Linked DNA regions of Notamacropus eugenii. The protein of the gene in region 1 interacts with the protein of each later gene in a pairwise test. Links are inferred from orthologs where the notes say so. Each region holds a gene or a part of one and is shown on either strand. Other genes may lie near its edges.

Evidence for each region. The genes of interacting proteins can lie anywhere in the genome.
Region 2: the proteins of GOLGA2 (region 1) and PPP1R18 interact in binary tests that used the Homo sapiens proteins (3 or more experiments, as listed by UniProt). The two-hybrid records come from large-scale screens. The link is inferred for Notamacropus eugenii from reciprocal best matches to the Homo sapiens genes GOLGA2 and PPP1R18.

What each region holds. Positions count from the first base shown.
Region 1 is NC_092872.1:479,583,270-479,591,174, forward strand, and holds the start of GOLGA2 (golgin subfamily A member 2), read right to left. Parts: upstream 3,005-7,905; 5' UTR 2,827-3,004; coding exon 2,779-2,826; intron 1,130-2,778; coding exon 1,007-1,129; intron 393-1,006; coding exon 312-392; intron 1-311. UniProt on the Homo sapiens protein: Peripheral membrane component of the cis-Golgi stack that acts as a membrane skeleton that maintains the structure of the Golgi apparatus, and as a vesicle thether that facilitates vesicle fusion to the Golgi membrane.
Region 2 is NC_092873.1:84,556,629-84,564,256, reverse strand, and holds the start of PPP1R18 (phostensin), read left to right. Parts: upstream 1-4,624; 5' UTR 4,625-4,707; coding exon 4,708-4,716; intron 4,717-4,955; exon of another isoform or gene 4,956-5,041; intron 5,042-5,253; exon of another isoform or gene 5,254-5,272; intron 5,273-6,184; coding exon 6,185-7,628. Other genes in the region: NRM (nurim), read left to right, coding at 447-643, 2,126-2,302, 2,736-3,017.

The DNA.
Region 1 (7,905 bases):
GAGGAGGGACCCAGGGTGTTTCTTACATTTTTTTTATAGTGACCAACAGACCAAAAATTTTCTGAAGACTCTCCTGACTCTACCTTTAGCTACAAAATGCATTTTACTTCCTCCTAGATAACAAAGGGGTGGGAGAGGGGAAAAACAAAACTAACAAAGTAGGAGAACATGAGGGAGTAATCAGGCCACCATGGGTTAATGACAGCAACAGAAAAATAAAGCAGGAGGTCATCCCCAAACCCAGAGAAGTCTTGGGGGCATGCAGAGCTGGGAAAGCAAGCCAGTGAGAGGGGACCTCGGCACTGTCTCACCTTCCGCTTGTCCAATGTGGGTAGCGCTACCCCATTGGAACGGTTAAGGTCGGACACCAGCACCTTCAGAATGTCCTGAATCTACAAGAGGCGAAAAGGGAGAAACAAAAAGGGAAGAAGAGAGAAAGAGAGGTGGCTTAGAGGGAGGAGATAAGAGTTGGGAAGAGTGGAAGGGACAGGCTTAAGGAAATGGGGGTAAGGATGGGAACTGAAGGTGGCTAAGGTAAGGACCCAATCCATAGACAGCGGTTGGGGATAGCCTTCCTAACATCTACTTTTGGCCTTGTTTGGGCAAGGCCATGTTAACATAATCCAGAAAAGCTGGAGAGAAGTTCACAGAATCATAAAATCCTAAAACAATAAAGCTAGAAGTGCCATCTAAGAATACTTAGTTTATCTCTTTTACTTCTTTTAAACAGGTTCAGAGGAGTGAAGTGACTTGCACAAGTCATGCAGTGAGTAGCAGAAATGAGACAAGAATCTAGATTTCTTGATTTCCAATTTCCAGGTCTTTTTCTATTATATGACTTCACTCCCACCATGACTTTGCTAGTATGTCTTAAAGGGAAGGGCAGGTGGCTTGGTGCCGTTTTCATTTGTAACGCTTCTTCTGGGGATAGGGGAAAACTGTCAGCTGAGTCAGGTCACCCCTTTTTCTCCATCTTTCCAAGGGAGTGTTTCTAATTAAGACTCACATCCTCAGGAGAGTGTCGGTCGCCAGATGGAGGAGTCTCGGGGTTATTCCCATCTTTCGTTTTCCTTTTTTTCTTGGCTCCTGCTGGGGTACCAGGGCTGGTCTTCTGTTGATACTCCTTCAACTTTGGAGAGGAAAAGGTTAGGGTTGGAAATGGCAAGGGTCATGATCCAGGGTCCAGGACAGTGCAAATTATACAATGAGGTGGGCTCAAGAAGAAAGCATGTCAAACAGCTAGGTTTGGATTCCAACTTTGCCCAAAGGCTCTCTAGGTGCTGAGAAATGATTCACAGCTCAGATGCTCAGTTTCCTTAATAAGTCATACTTCCAAAGTGCTTTAAAGTTTACAAGGCATGTTCCTCAGAACTAGTTGGTAAAAGGGGAAATGACTTGCCCAGATAATTAAGTGTGAGAACCCGGACTCAGCCTCAGGTGTCCCAACTTTAAGTCCTTTGCTAACCTCTCAAAACTAACTTCTCTCCCAACCCTAACAGAATTCCTCTCATTTTAAGTCCTCTCCATTCCTCCAATAGGTGAGCATATATTATCCCAGAGGGCAATGAATGAAAAGGATTGTGGTTCCAGAAATTTAGGTAATAAGAGGGTGTGGTGGAAAGTTGAAAGAAAAAACCATGGACCTTTCAAAAGAGTTAGAATCTGGGCAGAAACAATCCTCTCATTCACTTTTCCAGCATGTTTTGAATCTTTGAGAACATAAGAATCAAGGAACTAGATAAATTTAGGATCTTACTAGCCATCGTTATCATCAATGTTAAGTCTCTGAATGTACACAGTGATGCAGTCACTCCACGTCTTTGGAACTCTTTTGAAAGTGTTCTCAAGGGGCTCAAGAACCTCCTCAGTTAGTCATTTAAAAAATCCCGTCCATTTCCCAGGCCAGAAGGTTCTAATGACAACTTGGGAAGGGGGATGGTGGCCCAACCTCATTCCAAGTCCTCCCCACGAGTTACTCCGAGAGAAACAATTATCCACTCCCCTATAATATTACCCTATATGTGGTCCTTCCACACACACCTTTCCCTACCCCACCTGCGCACCCCCCCCCCTCCGTCCCTAACTCTGGGTCTGAGGCAAAGGGAGTCCGATGCTGGGGGTTGGGCAGGGTGCAGAACAGGCTGGAAGAGGTTTGGGAAGGGCTCCGAGGGAGGAAGTCCAGGACGGCGTCGGATTCCCACAGAGCGGGCGGGGCAGGCCTGGCTGCTGGCGTGCCCAAGCCTTCACCTTGGGGCCCCTCCTGGGGTATCTGGGTTTCGGTGGGAGAGGGGACGAGAGGCTCCAGGGGCCCCGAGACGAGCAGAGGGCATCTCCCTCCAGGCACCAGCTGTGAGAAGGGGGGAGGCCTTTCCGGGAGGCCAACAGCTGGGCCTGACGTCACGGGTCGGGCCCAGGGAAAGAGTGTCACGGGCCCAAAGTCACCAAGGGGGCTGCGGGGGAGGGGCGTGGGGCGCCAGGGATTTAGGGAAGTCTTGGAGGGCGCGGGGCTCGGGACCTGTGGGGTTCAGGAACGGGGACCTGCGGGACTGGGGACGAGGACCCTGAGGAGATCGAGGAGGAACACGAGAAGGTGGCCCTCAGACACCGGCGGGGGAGACCCGAGAAGAATCAGGAGGACGATCTAAGGGATCCGGAAGGGGGTCTGAGAGAAACGAGGAGAGCCTGGATCCGGGAGGGGGTCTGTCAGGGTCCTGGCGGCGGGAAAGGAGGGGGCGGAGCCGAGCCCCCGAGCGCAGGGGCCGTCTCAAGAGCATTTACCTTCTTTTTGGCCGCCGCCAATTTGCTCTGCCGGGTCTCGTCCGCCATCCCGGGCCGGGGAGGGGGAAGGCGGGGGGGGCCACATCACCGTGATCCCGGCAACCACCGCGGCATTCCATCCAGCAGCCACCGCGCCGCACCCGCTCCTCCCATAGGGAGGGCGAAGGGCGGGGTCGGACAGCGCCGCGCTTCCCAGCGTCTGCGCCTGCGCCGCGTCACCCGCCCCGCCCCTCTGTACTTGGCTACAGTCTGTCCTCTCGTCTCGCGGTCTGCTCACGACTGGCGCCGACGCTCCGGGCTCCTGGGGAGCCCGCTCGTCCTGGTTCGGGTGCGAGCCTCAGGCCCGCCGCCGCTCTTCTCCTCGGCAGCCCTGGAGCCCCGCGCGCTGCAGAGACCCTCGGGAGGGGAGCCCGGGACCCCGAGCCTCCGGAGGTGCGGAGGGGACGACACTCATCGTAGACCTCTCCCCCCCCAAGATCCTACACCCTCTTCGGAAACCCCCTGCTCTGGAGACCTCAGCCCCTTCCAGTGTGCCTAGCACGGTGCCTGGCTCTTAGCGGGCGCTTAATAGATGCTTGTTCTTCCCCCTCCCCCCATCATGAGCACCGTCATTCCTTCTAAAGACCCCACCCTCCCCAAAGATCCCACCCGCTTCAGAAACCCGTCTTAAGATGACGGCCCCTCCTTTAAGAGACGCCTTCAGTGAACACCATCAGACGCCTCCCCTCTGAAGAAACCAACGCACAGATCCAGCCCTGCCATTGGCACCTTCCCAGAGACCCTCAGCTCCGTTGGGACCTCTGCCCTTTAGGGTCTGCTCCACCTGTGCTTGGTCTCCATCCCTTCCGCAATGCCGTGTCCTGAACAGCCTGATTCAGTTTCCCTTTGCCCAGCCGTCCTCACCCCAGGGGGTCCCCAAGCTCTCAAGTAACCTTGTAGGTTCTCCGCTCTTCCCACCCCCCTGGGTCCCTAACCACTCCTCTTCCTTGGTTGCTTTCTAGGGCACGCCTGGGACTCTCCAAACGGCATTCGGCAGCTTTTCGATCCCCCGTGAGTATGCCACAAGCTCTGCTGCCTGTCCCTGCCCTGTGCCACACAGGCAGTGTCTTTCCCCAGCCTGCTGGACCTCCTCAGTTACAGCGCAGCACTCCATTCCTTGATCTCTGATTCCAGAGCAGACGTTTTCCTAGCACTTTACCCAAACCTTGCCTTTCCTATCCTACCTCATACCTCCAGTGTCTCCTTCCGCTTGTATCAGATTCATGCCGTCGTCGTAGGTGTTTAATAAATACCTGATGAATTGAATGACTTATCTGCCTCCTACTTGACTAAGGTGATCCAGGAAGGATATCTGATGTTATTTCATCCAGTATTCTCTACCTCGAAATATTTCTGCCTCTAGCTATGTTTTCTCACCCTCACCCCTCAGATGAAGTCCCACCCAAAGCTAACCTCCCCTTGTGTCTTCTGCTTTCTTTAGGCCTTTCCTCCATAATTTCTACAATCTTTTCCTCCCAACTGGTTGCTTCCCCTCTACCTTTAAGTACACGGATCTCCCCAATCTTGGGAGAGAGGGGAAAAACAAACAAAAAACTTTATTTGATCTACTGCCCCCACTAGTTACATCCCTCCACTTCTTTGCCAAGCCTACCTTCTGCCTTCGTTACCCACTTGCTCTTTAACCCTTGGCAGTCTTATTTCTTAGATGTCCAGTGACTTTTAATTGGCAAACCCAGTGGCCTTTTTTTATCCTTCATTCTCCTTTACCTACTTGCAAAAAATTGATACTGTTCTCTCCTGACTCCTTGGAACTCTCTCTTGCCTCTTCAAGTCACTACTATTCTGCTTTTTCAGCCACTTGAGTATTCGTTCCTCTGGCGCCTTTTCCGCATTTCCCTGTTCTTCTCTTTGTCTTTCTGTAGTTGATAACTTACTTTGTGGTTTTCAATTGTCATTTATTTTGCTGTTTGATCAGTACTTCTGTTGATGACTTTCAGATCCGTATCTGTCATTCTGAGCTTTCAGATGAGTTTTACATTTCCAACTGCCTCCTGGATATTTTTCCGTTTGGATGTCTTACTTTCATCTCACTAGATGCACTCAGTGCATCTAAAATGATCTGTGTCTCCTTGTCAAAATTGCCCCTTCCTCTTGACTTCACTGTTTCTTTTACCATTTTCCATGTTTGAGAAAACACAGAAGCATCTGTGATCCTTCGCTCTCCATCACCTCCATGTTTATCAGATCTTGTATATTCTTTGTAGTGTTTTTCCCACCTGTAGCTTTTCATCTCCATGGATACAACCCCAGTTCAGGCCTTTACCTGAATCTTACCTATGACCACTTCATTCATGAACTCTTGGCCTCCTCGCTCTTACCATTACCAGCCTTGCCTCCAACCATCATTCACACTGCCATTTCTAGGTTAATTCTGCCAAAACACATCATATTACCCTCTAGCTCAAAAACCTGTAGTAATGCCTAAATAACTAAAAGATCAGTTTGATACTTCTGAACCAGGTATATAAGACTTTCTACAATCTGACCTTGTTCTACCTTTCTAACCTCATTTCTAAATACTTCTTTTGCTCTGGTCATACTGGTCTTATTGTCCTTGCAAAATGCTAAGTTTATTCCCACCTCTGTAGCTATATTCACTCCACTCTGCCCTGCCCTTTCTTTCTATCTGAATCCTACTCATTTTTCTATTTAAAAAAAATTACATAACACCTTGATTTTGATGTAATTTCAATACAAGCTAGATTAGATTGTTATTTTTATTGATACATTTTTAAAAACCAAAATCATGGTGGCTAACATTTACTGGCCCCAGCTCATTCTCAAGTTATTCAGTATCTGATATATCCTTATATCCCATGATTTATCTCCAGGGATACTCTCCATGTATACCTTCTCGATGAAAAACCCTTATAATCCTTTTATCATAACCTATCATTCCATCTCTCCCTATGGCTTACTCCTCCTAAATCTCTTCTTCATCTGATAATGACCTCTAGACCATCCACTGGTCAGTACTTTCTCAACTTTGATCTTACAGTTAAACAGTTTGACTACTTTTGGCCCTCTGATTTTGATTTCCTTGCTCCCTTGTCCTGTTGACAATCATGCCTTGCCCAAAATTAACCATGTATTCTTCCACCACCTTCCCCTTTTACTCCTGCTTGTGCTGCTGAACAAAACTAGAGAATATCGTGCAACCACGGTGACTGGATGCATTACCACTTTATATTATCTAATCTTAATAGGGCCCTCCCTGTAGCAAAGCAATCCTTTTATTCCTCCCTAATTGATGCTCTCTGTCCCTCTTTGCACAGAGGCTGTTTCATTTTCTTTCCTCAAACCTCCCATACCTCCCCATCTTTCCCACCCTCTCAGCCAAGGAGTTCAACTATTTTTTCATATAGTTTTAATATTTTTATTTTTAAAAATTTTATTTATACAATAAAATTATATATATAATTATATTTATATATTTTAAAAAAATATTTTATATTGAATGTTGGAGGGGATGTGGGAAAACTGGGAATCTAATACACCGTTGGTGGAGTTGAGAACTTATCCAACCATTCTGGAGAGCAATTTGGAACTATGCCCAAAGGGCTATAAAACTATGCATACCCTTTGATATAGCAGTACCACTCCTAGGTCTATATCCTAAAGACATCCAACAAAAGGGAAAAGGAACTATTGGTATAAAATATTTATAGCAGCTCTTTTTGTGGTGGCTAAGAACTGGAAATCCAAGGGATGGATGCCCATCAATTGGGGAGTGGCTAAACAAGTTGTGGTATGTGATTGTAGTGGAATATTATTGTGCTATAAGAAAAGGAAGATTTCAGAAAATCCTGGAAGGATCTATATGAACTCATGCAGAATGAAGTGAGCAGAAGCAGGAGCACACTGTGCACAGTAACAGCAATATTGTTCAATGAAGAACTGTGAATGAGTTAGCTATTCTCCTCAGTACAATGATCTAAGACAATTTCAAAGGACTAATGATAAGCATACTATCCACCTCCAGAGAAAGGAACTGATATTGATTGAATGCAGACTGAAGCATGCTATTTTTCACTTTCTTTCATTTTATTTTATTTGAGTCTGCTTGTCCAAAATGACTAATATGGAAATGTTTTACATAATTGTACATGTATAGCCTAAATCTGATTGCTTACCACCTCAGGAAGGGGAAGGACGGACAGAATTTGGAACTCAGAACTTTAAATAAAATGTTAAAAAATTAGAAAAACATTCATTTTTTAAAATTTTGAGTTCCTAGTTCTCTCCCTCCCCCCCTTATCCATTGAGAAGGCAAGCAATATTGTATTAATTATACATGTGAATTCATGTAAAACATAGCCTTGTTGCAAAAAAAAACCCAAAAAATGAAAAAAGTATGCTTCAGTTTGCATTCAGAGTTCATCAGTTCTCTCTGGAGGTGGATAGCATTTTTCTTTGAGAGTTTTTTGGAATTGTCTTGGATCATTGTATTTTAGGGTAGCTAAGTCTTTCACAGTTGAATGTCATTATAATATTGCTGTTACTATGTACCATGTTCTCCTAGTTCTGCTCACTTCACTTTGCATCAGCTCACATGAGTCTTCTCAGGTTTTTCTGAAACCATCACCTTCATAATTTCTTGTAGCACAATGGTATTCCATCATAATCATATGTCACAGCTTGTTTAGCCATTCCCTAACTGATAGGCATCCCATCGATTTCCAATTCTTTGCCACCACAAAATAAGCTTCTGTAAATAGCTTCATACATGTAAGTGCTTTTCCTTTTCCTTTGATCTCTTTGGGATATAGACCTAGTAGTAGTTTTGCTGGGTCAAAGGGTATACGCAGTTTTATAGGACTCTAAGACGTAGTTCCAAATTTTTTTCTTTGCTGGATCTTCATCCTGGTTTCCCTCCATCAACTGAGTATACACCAGGGCTTTGTCTTGTGCTATTTTCTTTCTTTTCTACATTCTCTCACCTGGCTAAATTGACAAGTCTATTCTCCCATGGGTTAAATTGAGAAGTCTATGCAGGTGATCTCCAGATCTATATATTCAGCTCTAGTCTCTCTCCTGAGCTGAAGTTTTGTATCACTAACCTCTGCT
Region 2 (7,628 bases), on another chromosome or scaffold:
TGTATGGTCACAAAGCTAGTAAGCATCAGAGGCATAATTTGAACTCAAGTCTCTCCTAACTCCTAGGTTTGACTTCTTTTTCCTCACAGGTGGAGCAGAAGTGAATAGGTTTGGGTTGGGGTTTTTCAAGCCTCTGGGCACTAACAACCTCTTGATCTAAAAGACTTCTCAGAAACTCCCAAATCCTCTTCTCAGTCAACTTCTTTCTGAAAGGTTCAGCCAGCATCACTTAAAACTCCTTTTCTATATATTAGCCCTAAGGGAATTGCTGGAGATGGGAAGTAAAGCCACATCATGGGGAATGGAGAGTAATAGGGGCATGGTCTAGACAGGTTCTCTGAGTGACATCAGGAATTAGGGGACATGGCCTGAGATTCAAAGGAGATATTTAGAATAACGGTGATCTTTCCCTGTCCTTTTGATATCCTGTCTCCCCCCATCCTAAGATTCTCGACAGGAATGGCTGACTGCCCTACAGGACCCTGGCATCTTGGCAGCTCTAGCCCAGGACCTGGGACTGGTGCTGTTATTCATGGGGCAGCACAGTCTTATGGCAACAGAGCCTGTGAAGACATGGATGGCCCAGCGCTTTGGGGTCCTACAGAGGTCACTCTATGTGGCCTGCACTGCCCTGGCCCTGCAGGTATGGGGACTAGACAGCTAGGTCCCCAAGAGAAGTAGGGTCTGGGGAAAGGAAAGCCTGGGGATGAGGGTGCCAGATGCCTGGGTTCCTGAGTAAACTGAGAATTAACAGAGAATGAGCTGGAAGCATTCAAACCTCTGCACATTCTAATCACTAAACTCTCTAACTGCAGCTCCCACTACTTCCCTACTGTAGACTGAGTAGGCCCATTGTTTCCCAAACATACCCCCTTCTTTTTTCCTCCCCATTCCCCCCTGCTTGGAATGCCTACCACCTCCTCTCTTTTCCAAAACCTGCATATGCCTTTAAGGCCTGATCTTCATCTCCTAGTTCCTCAAAGAAGTCTTTACCAATGACCATAGTTTTATTGTTGATCTCCTCCCTCTTTTGAGGTCCTTTTTCTAATATGACATATTGCCATAGACCTTTATCACATATGATATATATATGCCTGATAATTATATGTTGCTTTATTATTTATCTCTAGATACATATTGTAACCAAATTGTAAGCTCCTCTAGGGCAGTGATCATACATCTTATAAATATGCTAAAACATTTATTCTCTCCTGTGTGCTTCCACACTGTGCCAGTGATATTCCTAGAGTACAGGACTAGCCTGCTCAATAAATTTCAGTGGTTCCCTACTACCTCTAGGATCAAATATGAAATTCCCTGTTTAGCATTTAGAGCCCCTGCTCAGTCTGGTTCCAACTTACCTTTCCAACTCTTATTTTACATTGTTGTCCTTCATATGCTTATGTCTGTCTAGCCTGGCCTTCTCTCTCTGTCTTTCTTTTACTCCCAATCCCCCCCACCCCACCCCCCCCCACACACAAAATTCTGCCTCCCATCTCTGGACTTCTGCACAAACTTTCCCCTCCCACCTACCCCCACCCCATGCTTCCTCCCCTATGCCTCCTAGAATCTTTTTTTTCCTTTGAAGCTCAGCTCAAGCACATCTCCTACATGAGACCTTTCCTGAGCCCCTTGTATTTATTTTATATGTACTTCTCACTCCTATAGAATAGGAGTCTCATGGACGAGACTTTCATTGTTGCCTGTGCCTGGCATGTAGTAGGCCCTTAATAAATGCTGTTGATTGATTGCAAGGTCTGAGATCCAGATAGGATTTTAGAGTAGCAGTGAGAGATATCTACCCCCCACTTCTGAGGCTTAAGAAAAATAAATAAAGCATGATCTAATACTTGCTTGTAATTCCGTCACCTAACATGGCATCCTACATATAGTGGACATCAAAAAACATTTGTGTTTGTTAATAAGGGTTTGAAAACCAGTCTTGGAGCACCCTGCATGAATTATTAGAAGTAAAAGCCATCAGGGAGCTAGAGATGTGTGTGTGTGTGTGTGTGTGTGTATTGTGGCATTGTGGGAGGTGAGGGGGGAGCCTCCCCTCAACATATTAAATGATTACATCTCCAAGGGGAGTTGAATCTAGCTATCCCCTATCTGTTTCTTTCAGGTGATAATGCGTTATTGGGAGCCAGTGCCAGAGGGCCCAGTTCTCTGGGAAGCACAGTCAGAGCCCTGGGTGACCTGGGTACCCCTTCTCTGCTTCGTGATGCACATCATAGCGTGGCTTCTCATTTTTAGTATCCTCTTGGTTTTTGACTATCCTGAACTCATGGGCCTCAAACAGGTAATTTCCAGTTCCTGGGCCTCTAACCTTTGGACATCATTCTTTATCTCTTCTAAGACTTGAATCACCTTCAATCTCCCCATCCCTAACCAATCTTCACAAGTTTTTGCTCCACCCTCACCTCGGTCTACCAGTTACCTTTCTTTCCCCCCCACCATGGAGCCATGATCTCATACTCCTCCCCCAGAATCTAGAAATGGTAGCTCCCATGGATTTGTAGGAGAGTCAAGAGCCAAGAGTTAGGCTCAAAGGGGAGACCTTAGTCCCAAGGATTGAAGGAGGATTAGATTTATATCCTTGGAGAAATGGAAGAGGTAACCTTGGAAGATGAGCAGAGACAGCCTTTTATAAGGAATTGAGGGAGTAGAATTAGAGGCAAAGGGATATAATGATTCAATTTCTGATCTAATGTCCTTCCATCCCTCTCCCATAGGTATATTACCATGTGCTGGGGCTGGGGGAGCCATTGGCTCTGAAGTCCCCTAGGGCACTGAGACTCTTTGAGCACTTGAGACATCCTGTGTGTGTGGAGCTCCTGACAGTGCTGTGGGCTGTGCCCCGACTGGGCCTTGACAGAATCCTCTTGGCTGCACTGCTCACCCTCTACCTGGGCCTGGCACATGGGCTAGACCAGCAAGACTTGCGCTACCTCCGTGCCCAGCTTCAAAGAAAGCTTCAGTTACTTGCTGGGCCCCAAGATGTAGATGCTGAGTGAAAGTGAAATCTAGTCCCTAGGATGAAACTATTGTCCCTAGACTCTAAAGCCCTGACTCCCCATTCAAAGTTCTGTTCCCTGAAATCTAAGAGTTATCCTAGAGAATCTGTCTTCTGGATTCCAAGTTCCACTCCAGAATCTGAGGTTTCCACACCTACTCTAACTTGAGAGGCCACCCCTTGAAGCTTGGGGCTGTATGCTTCTAGGTCCTTTGATGCCTCCCCCCCACCCCCAAACTCTGTCTCTCTTGAATTCCCAGCTCTACCTCCTAGACTCCAAGTTTCTCTCCCTGTGAACTTCAGCAGGGTTCTCTAGATATGGTATACAGCTAGCTCCTTGACTTGGAGCCCATACTCAAATTCTAGATTTAGTATCCCTTAATCCAGGATCCCACTCCCCTACCTAAGGACCCCTCAATGCAATCTAGAAAGAGAGATGAGGTACTGAAGGAGGAATGAGGATTTTGGGCTTGTCCCCAACTAGAGACCTCTTTCTGCCTATTTTCCTCTCCAAATCCTAGGGGAAGAGGTTGGCCCTGATCAGTCTACTATCACTGATCCCCAGCCCCATTCTCAGGGACCCCTCCTTTTCCTTTATATCTTCACCTACCCCAGAACAGAATTGTTTTCCAGCCTCCAGACTGAAGTACCTTTCCTTAGTTCTCTATCCCCCATTGTCCAGCCTTTCCCTCAGCGTCCTTGAGGTTCCTTTTAAAATTTCTCCCTCACCACTTAGGCTCTATGTCCTTGAAGCAAATGTTGGGAGGACGGGGAAAGAACCTCTTCACTCCCCACCTCAGTGCCTTCATGTTTCCCAAAGAACATGTAAGAAGCTGGCCAATAAATCCAAATATTATGTCTTCTTTACGTGCCTCTTAAGGTCACAAGTGTTTATCTCTGGTCTGGACAGTTAGCTGGTTCCGGATCCTTAGAGAATGGAAGGGAGAATTGAAACAGGGAGGGGCAGAGTAGAGTGATAGGCCTAAGACCAACTGTCTCAGCAGCTACAAAGTAGGGGGTGGGGATGACGGGTGGAAAGAAAGCAAATGCTTGCAGTAACTACAGCTACTGTTCCCTCCAGTGGCCACTATGCTTCGGCCATTCCTCAAGGTCCTGCCTTCTATCATTTTGAGGATGCCCCAGTCTCCCACCTTCAGGAAGGGGGCATAGTTACTTCTTCCGCTAGCAATCCCGCCTGCCAACACCTGGATGATCTCAGGGTTGAGTAGACCGCTGATTTGAAAGGTGGAAGCCCAGTCCCTAACCAAATCAAAGCCAAGCATGCAGGAGTCTCCACCCATCCCGCCGACTTTGATCTTAGACCCGCTCCACCCCTACCCCCAATCACTTTCAGTCCCCACTCCCAACCCGGCAGTCTTGACCAGCGACCCTACAAAAATAAAGCTCTGGGAGCTAAGAAGGGAGGAGGGCGGGAGATGGGCTGGGCAGGACGGCTCCCAGCAGCTGCTGCTTCCTCCCTGGGCCCCCCTAGGGGCCTGAGTCACGGGCCACCGCCCTGGACCGGGGCTTTGGGAGGGGGAAAGAGGAGGGAGGAAAGATTGGGGGTGGGGGGTGGAGAGTCCCGGGAGAAGTTGAGTGCAAAGGACACCTGGGTCCCGCAGGGCAGAACGGCCGAAGGAGAGTGAGGCAGCTGGAGGTTGAGGATCAGGATACTTGGGTCCCAGAGAGGAATGAGAGCGGTGAGCTTGGGGGTTGCGCGTCTGGGAGTGCTTTCCAGAGAAGAGCCAGCTAGGGGGTCCTGGGGGCGGGAGGCCCCGCCCCTTGAAGCCAGTTCCGCCTCTCGCCCCCTTCTCTCTCCCCATTGTCCTCAGACAAAGCGGTCGCCGCCCCCAGCCCGGCCCCCCTTGGTTTGGGTCTATCTCTCCTCCTCCTTCCCTCCTTCCTCCCTCCCTCCCTCCCATCTCCAACTCTGCCTCGCTCCCTTTCTTTCTCTTCCTTCTCTCCCTCTCCAGACGCTTTCTCGACCTCGAACCCCCTCCCTCCCCCGTGGGACCCTGCCAGTACGTGAGTTGGGAGGGGGGGTTCAGACTCCGAGGATAGATGTCCCCACCCTCATCACCTTCGGCCGCCACCCTTTTCCCCTCCACTCTTTCTTCTGCCTGGGAGATTTTCTTTGTGTAGCGAGTAGGAGTAGAGTGCGAGAGAGGCTAGGGACCGCAACATCTCGCTCCCAGGGTCAGAGTGACAGGGGACTCTGGAGGGCGACGGGGGAGGACACCTAGGTGCCTAACTGAGGTGAAGAGGGCTGGACAGACCAGAGCTGGTTATCTGGGTCCCCGGACTGGGAGGAGGGCTATGGGCGAGGGGGAGGAGTGGACATCTGGGTTCTGAGAAGGGGTTGGGTGCTCGGCCGCCTGGTTTCCAAAAGTCCCCGGGTACTGTCTTTTCCCAGACCCGCCCCAAGAGGCGGGGTGCGTAGGCCCGGTGGGGGGAGGAGGGGGTGGCCCGGGACTGGAGGGGCGTGGCTGGTGAGAGGTTGGAGGGGAAGCTAGAGTCCGCTAGGGCCCACGCTGTGACTGGCAGGTCTGCTGCACAGTTCCCTCCTCCCCTCTCTCCTTATCCCCTTCTTACCCTTTCCCCTATCCCTTTGGTGCACCCTTACCTCTCCCCTTTTCCGTGTCCATCCTCCCTCCCCCCAACACCATGGCTTCGCTTTTTCACCCCCCACGTCAGGAGTTCCCCTAACCTCCACATCTCCCCCTTTAGCCACCCACTTGGTTCCTTCCCCTGGTTCTTCTCCAAACTGTCTTCTCTTCTTTTTTCTCTTCTCTCATCTAAAATATTCTGTCATCCTCCACCATACCCCAATATTCTATCTTGCTTTTTTCTCCCTTTCTCCCTCCCAGCTTTCTTCCCCTCCATTGTATCACTCAGTCTCTTCCCTCCCCCTACTTTTCTTCTGTTCAGTTCCTCAGTATTTCTTCTGATTCTCCCTTTCTTTTCATTCTTTTCTAGCAGTTCTCTTCCCTTTCCTAGTCTTCCTGTCTTTCCCTCTTTCCAGGGGATTCTCTCTTCCTTTCTTCTACTTTGTCTTCCCACACAAACTCTCCGCCACATTTCCTCTCCCTCTGCCCCACCAGTACTTTCATTCTCCAGTTCTCTTACTTCTTTCTTCTCCCTGACGTTGCTCCATCTCCTCCCCTCCAGTTCTCTTGCCCCACTGGGACCATGGCTACTGTCCCAGATTGGAAGTTACAACTACTAGCCAGGCGAAGACAAGAAGAGGCTGCTGTTCGAGGCCGGGAGCAGGCTGAGAAGGATCGACTGGCCCAGATGCCAGCTTGGAAACGGGGACTATTGGAGCGACGCCGTGCCAAGCTAGGAGTGCCAGTGGGGGAACCAGGTCCTGGGAATGAGGCTACAGATGCAGCACCTCCTGAACTCGATGAGCCTGTGGTCCTTCTAGAGGCCATTGGACCTGTCCACCAGAATCGCTTCATCCGCCAAGAACGCCAAGAGCTAAAGCAGCAGCAGCAGCAAGGTGTGGAAGAGCAGCTCACTGATCGGAGGCCACCTGAGGGTCGAGGACACATTTCAGGGAGAGGGGAAGCCCGAGAGCAGAGACCCAGCATGGCAGAGGCTCAGGAACAGAGTCTGGTGGGAAAAGAGTCAAGAGAGCAGAGGCTGAGCCTGGGGGAGTCTGGAGATAGGAAGCTGGGGGTAGCAGAAGTTCCAGAGCAAAGCCTTAGGCCTGCAGAGGCCTTGGAATGGAGATTGAGCCCAAGGGAGACTGAGGAGAGGAGCTCCAGCCTTTCAGAGTCACGGAAATGGAAGAAAAGCCCTGGGGAAGCTCGAAAACGAAATGTGAATCCAGCAGAACCTCAAGAACAGACCTCTGGGGCATCTGAAATGGGAGAATGTAGACTGAGCTCAGGAGACCGTGGAGAGCGTGGAGAACTGAGGCTGGGGATGACAGAGATACACAAATGGAGGATGAATTCCAGAGAAGTCTTGGAACAGAGTCCAGAGCCGTTGGAGGCTCGAGAATGGAGGATCAACCCAGGAGAAGAAAGCAAAGGGAGATCAGGGGAATCGGGGACAGAACAGAGACTAATGCAGAGGAAATCCAGGGAGAACTCAGGACTTTTAGAGACACAAAGATGTAGGTTAAGTCCTGGTGAGTTTCGAGAACGAAGCCCAGGGGTAATGGAGGCAGCAGAAATGAGGTTGAATTCAGGAGAGGATGTAGAGAAGAGTTCTAGACAGTTAGAAGTAAGGAAATGGAGACTGAACTCTGGGAAGGCTCGAGAATGGAGCCCTGGGAGATCGGAGGCTGAAGGGCAGAAGACAGCACCTTCAGACTCTGGAGATCAGAAGTTGCTGTTGCCTACACTGAAGGCCGAAGAAGGGAGGATAGGGGCTGCTGTAGAGGAAGCTGGGGATGGAGGCAGGATGGTGAGCTCCCTTAGAAGCCACTACTCTGTAACCTCCCCCTCACCACCTGAGGAAGTTGGGGCCGGAGGCTCAGGGCTGCAGGAAGAGGAAGCAGCAGAACCTCAGCCCCCACCACCACCTTCAGTATCTCCCCTACCCCCTGCCCCACCAACTCCTCAGCCCCCAGGGGACCCGCTGATGAGTCGCCTGTTCTATG